2 linked regions of the Canis lupus familiaris genome follow. The protein of the gene in region 1 binds, or shares a complex with, the protein of each later gene. Links are inferred from orthologs where the notes say so. Each region holds a gene or a part of one and is shown on either strand. Other genes may lie near its edges.

What was found.
Region 2: the proteins of ATP6V1A (region 1) and ATP6V1D are in contact, whole or in part, in a cryo-EM structure (PDB 9B8P), measured with the Rattus norvegicus proteins. The link is inferred for Canis lupus familiaris from reciprocal best matches to the Homo sapiens genes ATP6V1A and ATP6V1D. Residues at the interface, in NP_001101788.1 of Rattus norvegicus: Ala366, Met368, Pro369, Ala370, Asp371, Ser372, Asp416, Ser418, Asp436, Lys438, Glu491, Gln494, Leu495, Val496; in NP_955418.1 of Rattus norvegicus: Lys4, Asp5, Arg6, Arg167, Ala171, Val175, Ile176, Arg179, Tyr186, Glu190, Arg194, Glu197, Tyr200, Arg201, Lys204, Ile205, Lys208.

The regions. Positions count from the first base shown.
Region 1 is NC_049254.1:18,715,527-18,719,352, reverse strand, and holds part of ATP6V1A (V-type proton ATPase catalytic subunit A), read right to left. Parts: intron 1,562-3,826; coding exon 1,433-1,561; intron 1-1,432. UniProt on the Homo sapiens protein: Catalytic subunit of the V1 complex of vacuolar(H+)-ATPase (V-ATPase), a multisubunit enzyme composed of a peripheral complex (V1) that hydrolyzes ATP and a membrane integral complex (V0) that translocates protons.
Region 2 is NC_049229.1:41,626,076-41,629,901, reverse strand, and holds part of ATP6V1D (V-type proton ATPase subunit D), read left to right. Parts: intron 1-1,620; coding exon 1,621-1,738; intron 1,739-3,826. UniProt on the Homo sapiens protein: Subunit of the V1 complex of vacuolar(H+)-ATPase (V-ATPase), a multisubunit enzyme composed of a peripheral complex (V1) that hydrolyzes ATP and a membrane integral complex (V0) that translocates protons.

The sequences.
Region 1 (3,826 bases):
GATTTTATAGCTACAGACTTCTAATTTTATTTAAATTTTCAGATGATTTTACTTTGATTTAGCACCCTAGTACTCACACAGAGAAGTTACCTGAAAAAAATGGATTTTAATATGGCAAAAAAGTTGTATAAAGTAAATCTTAATTAATGAGCCAAATAACTAATGCTGCCCGTATATTTATAGCAGCATTATTTACAATAGCCAAGATATGTAAGTAACCTAAGTGTCCACTGATACATTAATGGATAAAGACAATGTGGCATGTGCATGTGCGTAAAGAATATTCTGGCCGTTATGTGTATACAGATAGAATATACTGTGTTTTCAATATATACATGTTATATTACACAATAGAGTATGACCCAGCCATTAAAAAAAAGGATGAAATCTTGCCATTTGTGACAACATGGGTGGACCTAGAAGGTCCATATTAAGTCAGATCGAGAAAAACAAATACCATGTAATTTCACTTATGTGTGTAATCTGGAAAACAAATGAACAGACAAACAAGGAAACAAATTCATTAAATATAAAGAACAATCTAGTGGTTACCAGAGGGGAGAAGGTTGGGTAGATGGGCAAAACAGGTGAAGGAGATTAAGAGGTACAAACTTTCAGTTATAAAATAAATTAGTCATGGGGATAAAAAGGTACAGCATGGGGAATATAGTCATTAATACTGTAATAACTTTGATAACAGAGGATAACTACACTTATGGTAAGCATTTCATAAAGTATATAATTGTCAAATCCCTATGTTATATACCTGAAACTAACATAATATTGTATGTCAACAATACTTCAATAAAAATTTTAAAAAAATAAGACTTAATGCTGATCTTGAGAATAACTTAAGTAAAACACAAAAGTGAAGTTAAAAAAAAGTGGTTCCTCTTCATAAAATCTAATACATTATCTCTTTTTCATTGAAAACTTAAAATAAATACTATGCTTAAAACAAAAGTATGATAAACAAGTAGTAAAGATTCCCTAGTGCTAAAGCTATAATGTACCATGCCATACATACAACATTATTTTATTAGGATAGAGTAGTGACTCATTTATTTATGAATTTTCTATTTAAAATGGAAATCATGATCAGAGAATTTTAACCCTTCAAACCGATGTCGTCATTCTGTTTATGCTTTACAATATGTGTTCACTCTCAAGAAAATTGTAATTGGTTTCCCCTAAAGTTTGGGAACTACCAAAATATTAAGAGCAATACGAGTTCAGAAGATAATACTAATTTCTTAAAAAATGATCATAAGTTCCTAGTACCTTTCCTTAATAAATTCTTATATAAATCAGGTTTCTTTATGACACCATTTCATGCTTTTGATACTATTGGTTGTTGCTGTTTCCACCTTTGCCATAAATCCTTAAATTCTGACTTGCAGAAAGTGGCAAAAAATTGAACCAAAAAGGATACAAGTTTCTTCATACACTTGGATAGTTGCCATGTCACCCTCCAATCGGATAATCTCTCCAACCAACTCACTGTGGCCCACTCTCACCAGCTCATACATGGCTGCACCGGCCATGTCACAGGCTGTAACCACTGAAAAGAACAAATGAGTTTTTAGTAACTTAAGACTCCGTGAATAGAGATAATTAAGATATCCAATTAATCCAATAATACATCTTTCTCATATATTCTTAAGAAAAAATGTATGAAACATATATCGTTTTATAAGAATATAAATTTTAGCATCTGATACAGAGGTAAACAAAATAAATTTGTTAGGCTAAAGTTTATTCATTTACATAACACACATGAAAATTATTTTCAAAAAGTCTTAAGTTCTATACAGTAAATTCTTACCTAGCAGCATTGAGGCACATTTTGATCAACTCAAGTTGCTATACTACATGGAATGATGGGATTTAGGAACAACATAAAACATTTTTAAACTAAAATTGGAACAAGAGCTTTAGCTAGTAGCATGGCAGAATCAGTTTGCTGTGTTGTTACCATTCCTTTGAGAAATAATATTTAAAATTACATCTTTACTTTGACTTCTAACACTTCATATTGGTGGTTCTTAAAGCTCTTCTGGGACAAGAACCCCTTTGATAAACTAATGACAGCTCTACCTAGAAAAACTCACATATGCATCTACAAAAGTTTTTTTCAGAGGCACCTTGTCTAGCTCAATCAGTAGAGCATGCAACTCCTGATCTCAGGGTTGTGAGATCAAGCCCCAAGTTGGGTGTAGAGATTACCTAAAAAATAAAACCTTAAAATTTTTTTTTCATAGACCTTTTAGCCTTTCATAAGGATGTTTATAATCAGTCATCACCACTGGGTGAAGTCCTGATTAAGAATTCTTATTTCTTATAAATTCTGAACCAGAATTTTTACTTACTATTTTATATTTTAGATCATGTTGTCTAGTAAGTAAAAGTTATTTTTCTGGTAGGCAGGGAAAGTTGTACATTTTCAGATATGTGTAGGAATAACTCTATTACCTAATACATAGTTCTAATAAATGTATCAGAAGGCTGAATATTAAAAATATTCAAGTAGAAACCATTAAAGTATTAATATTCAATTAACGCGTTAGGACAATGAAGATTTGTTAATTTCATAAATATTTACCTCTACACCTACCATATAAGAATAATTAAGATGCACAGAAATGTCAGAGATGACTAAAATTTTATTTTACTATTTTTTAAGAGGGGGGATGGGCCAGAGGGAGAGGGAGAGAGAATCTCAAGCAGGCTCCCCACCACAGGGAGACTGACTCAGGGCTCAATCTCACAACCCTGAGATCATGACCTGAGCCCAAATCAAGAGTTCAACGCTCATGACTGAGCCTCCCAGATGTCTCTAAAATTTTAAATCATATTTCACAGGGCTGCCTTGGTGGCTCAGTCGGTTAAATGTCTGCCTTTAGCTCAGGTCATGATCCCAGGATCCTGGGACTGACTCCTGCATCCGGCTCTCTGCTCAGTGGAGGGCCTACTTCCTCCCTCTCCCTCTGCCTGCTGCTCTGCCTACTTATGTGTTTTCTCTGTTAAATAAATAAATAAAATCTTTTATTTTTTATTTTATTTTTTTGTATTTTTTTATTGGAGTTCGATTTGCCAACATATAGTGTAACACCCAGTGCTCATCCCAAATAAAATCTTTTTAAAAACCATATTTCAGAAGCTTAAAAATATGCCACTTCTCTATCATTTTATATTAAATACTTAAGAATAATAAGTTCTAGGAGTTTACTACAAGTTTCAAAGAAACATTTTTACCTAAACTCTTTTGATGGTATTCTTTGTCTTTTCCCTAAAAATTCTTGAGTGTAGCCTGTGTTTCCTAAAGATGCTTCAATCAAGGGGAAAATTGTTTCTCAAATGGCAAAAAAGATTGAAAACAGTGAGATGCATTTTTGCCAATAAGTTCAAGCTCAAACACCAAGTTCTAAGCTTCAGTAGAAGCTTCTTAGGGAGAAAATAAACACTGTGACTGACTGACTTTATTTGCATAAACACTGAAAAAGGGTCATCACCACTACTGTGAATAGAACAAAAAAAGACTATAGAATGAGGTTTATAAAAAGACATAAGGAAAAATATCCATGGCCTAAGGATTATAAATCAATGAGCAGATTTTACCTATGGAAAACTATAAATCATATTTTACAGTTAGATTAAAATGAATACTAGAATGAGATTTATCATTTAAAATGCAGTACTGCAAGTTTTGGCAGGATAAACAAAGTTTTTAACTGCTTTCTATTATTCTCACATCATAAAACTTCTTACCCACATATAACTAGTTATGAGATATCTAAAATAAGTGTTCAGAAGGATTTATATATGC
Region 2 (3,826 bases), on another chromosome or scaffold:
CTGAACCGGCTTCACTTAGACCTCCAGTGAGGCCAGTCAGTGCAAATTCAGCTACTGACAGTAGTTTTCAAAGAGGGAACTGTTCATCTGATGCTATTTATAAATAGGCAGTGTGGCATGTGGTTGGGATACAGTGGGCCTGGGTTTGAGCTTTAGTTTGAGTCTTGGGCAAGAAACTGGAGTCGGAAATCTGTTTCAGTCTAGTCATCATCATTGTCCCCATCCCGTCCCCCCTGTGACGGAAGAAAGTGTTTCATTTTTCTAAGCCTCATTTTCAAGATAATATTTGAAGCTTCTTTCAGCTATAGAATTGTCTGTGTAACCTTTTCCCTATGGAAAAAGATTTCAGTAAAATCTAGGAATTTACCCAAAGGTCCATTAATAAAATCTAGGAATTTACCCAAAGGTCCATTAATACATTAATACATGCTGTTTTGCGATAGATTATGGTACCAGTCATATGAAATTATATCCCCTTATACAAATACCTTAAGTATCTACATTATACAATTGATCGTTAAATCATCTTACCTACTTTTTTTTATTACTATGTTTTATCTGGCATATGGTAGTAAGAACAGAAATGTCAATTTCTGCTGTTACTTTCTTGACTTTGGTATTGGGGTTTCTGATGGGAAAAGTTTGGAATAAGGAGGTAAGGAGATTTCTGTAGTTTGTCACTACTCAAATATGTGTCATTGGTTCCTAGAGTCATTTACAAAGTAATAAAATTATTGGTGATAGGATATTGACTGGTGAGATGAAAACACTTTAAATGCCATACTTTTAATAGAAAAAGTAATTAATGGTTGTGGTATCTAATACAAAAGGTTCAAAAGATAATAAATATAGTAAAAAGTAAATAACATATTTTCACTCAATCCCATTTCTTAAAGGCAGCTGTTACCAGTTTCTGTGAATCTTTTCTAGAACTGTTCTTCGTATTTGTATAAGCATATTCATCCCTTTCTTTGCATAAGAGAATATAATATAGATTATATTGTTCTTTTAGCTTTCTCTTTTTTTTATGACTGCATATTATTTCATTGTATGATGAACCATGATTTATGGAACATTTAGCTTGTTGCCACCTTTTTGCAATTACAAGGGTGGAGTACTCATTCTTAACATTGTATATATTTTTGTGTACATACGAGAGTAGATCTGTAGGATAAATTTCGCATAGTGGAATTGTTAGTCCCGAAGGTAAGAGCATTTCAATTTTTGATATTAGTGGACAGATTTAAAAAAAATGCTTAATACAGCTGTAATGGAAATACAGATATAAAAAAAAAAAAGGAAATACAGATATAATTTGAACTTGCAAATCAAATATTTTAGCTATGGTGGTATAAAATAGGACCCCTAAGAAATTGTATTATGATTTAATGTTTTTCCAGATATTGATTAAAGAATTATTTCTGTTTTAAGTAAATGAACTTCTTATTTATGGAGCACTGAAGATGGAAATTTGCAGTGAGAAACTAATTTTGTCAGCACAAATGCTATATATTCTTATTTTCATGACATCAAAAAGTAAAGCATAACTTTAATACTTTATTGGGGAAGTATTTTTATGTTTTCTAAACAGTGGGAATAAATATTTTTAACTTTGTATAGGGCACAGACCATCATGAAGGCTCGATTAAAAGGAGCGCAAACGGGTCGAAACCTCCTGAAGAAAAAATCTGATGCCTTAACTCTTCGATTTCGACAGATCCTAAAGAAGATAATAGAGGTAGAATAAACTGTGTTTACAACAGTTGCTTATTTTAAAGATACCTAAGGAAAATCCAGCATGGCTTTTGGCATTTTAATTTTTCTTTAAGTTATTTTAATTAAAATTTTTTCCTCCAAAAGTAAAAATACTATTATGACTAACAAGCTTCAGATCATTTAATAAAATATGGACTCATTACCCTTGCCTGCAAAGCCCTACTTGATCCGATCTGGCCCCTGCCTGCCACTCTGATCTCATTTGGAGCGTTCTCCCTACCATTTTCTTTCCGAACCTTTTCATTAGTTATTTCTCCTGCCTGAAATGTTCTTTTCCAGGACTTCTTTTGACTTGCTCCTCTTGTCATTCTGGTCTCTTCAGAGAGGCCATTCCTGATCGCCCAACCTGAAGTGACCACTGTATTTACTTCTGTCACATATCTTTCTTTTTTTTTTGTCTTCTTTCTTTCTTTCTTTCTTTCTTTCTTTCTTTCTTTCTTTCTTTCTTTCTTTCTTCCTTCCTTCCTTCCTTCCTTCCTTCCTTCCTTCCTTCCTTCCTTCCTTCCTTCCTTCCTTCTTTTTCTTTTTCTTTTGATTTATTTATTTGTGAATGAGCGAGAAAGAGCAGGAGCATGCGCGGGGGTGGGGGTGGGGTCAGAGGCAGAGAGAGTCTTAAGCAGATTGCACTCAGCCCAGAGCTGGATGCAGGGTTCAGTCTCATGACCCTAGGTGAAACCAGTAGTCCAGTAGTCAGACACTTAACCAGTTGTGCCACCCAGGCTTCCCACATTTCCTTAGTTTTGTCATAGCACATACTACTGCATGTTTTCTTGTTTGATTGGTTGCCTCCACTAGAGAGTGTTAGTTCCATGAGAGCAGGGACTTAATCCTTTCAGCACTTAGTTCCTGTTCCCAGAACAGTGTTGGCACATAGTATGTTTCAACTCAGTACTTTTTTTTTTTTTTTAAGATTTTTTATTTATTTATTCATGAGAGACACAGAGAGAGAGAGAGAGAGAGGCAGAGACACAGGCAGAAGCAGGCTCCATGCAAGGAGCCTCATGTGGGACTCAATCCCGGGTCTCCAGGATCACACCCTGGGCTGCAGGTGGCACCAAACCGCTGCGCCACCGGGCTGCCCTCAACTCAGTACTTTTTAAGTAAATGATAGGTGAATACAGAAATACATTTAAAAAGTGAAGATCCCTTCTCACCCCCTACCCTTCTCTCATTTCCTAGAGATGTTCTCTGGAACACTTACAGTCTTTTTTTCATCATGGATGTTTTCAGTAACACACAGCTGTTATACATTATATAGTTCAGTTCTGCCTCTTCCCCCTGGCAGAGTATGGGTAGCTTTCTGCATCAGTACGTAGATCTGCCTCTTTCTTTATGATAGCTGCATGGAACACCATTGAATGGATAATGGGATTTAACCATTTTTCTGTTGATGGATGTTTGGTTTTACTATTTAGTGGGTGAGGGTACTTTTAATCTTCATGTATAGGTGAGTACTGACGACACGGACTCCATCTTTGGCCCTCCATCTTGTTCATGGCTGCGCTGTGACCTTCCTCAGGGCTCTGTGTTATAGGCTCCATGGAGGTTTAATGTGTGCCCTGACCAGAATGTAGGGAGGCATTGTTCTGATCCTCTCTAGAGTGGTGCGCAAGTAACTCAGGTGGGTGGCTGGCTCGCAGGAGGCCCCACTTGAGGTAACTAGGGGGGGTGGCTGGCCTGCAGGAGGTGCCACTGGAGGTAACTGATCAGAGTGGCTGGCCTGCAGGAGGCACCACTTGAGGTAGCTTTACTGTGACAGTCACACTATGCCCCTCCCTCTATAAAAGCAGGGGATTATGGGCCAGGTTTGGTGGAAGAGTAGTCTCTTGGGTGATTAGCTGGTCCAGTGCCTCCTGTGGGTAGGTTATCCTGAGTAAAATGGTGTAAATGGTTCTGGAAGACTCGTGATGTTTTTTATTCTCAGGGTGCCTTCTGAGTCTGGGGGATACTTGGCTGGCCCTTCTCCACCTTCTAAGAGGCAGCAAGCCAACCTGGAGATGAAATGAAGCCATCCAGGCCAGGCAAGGGAAGCCCAAGCTGGTGGCCACCA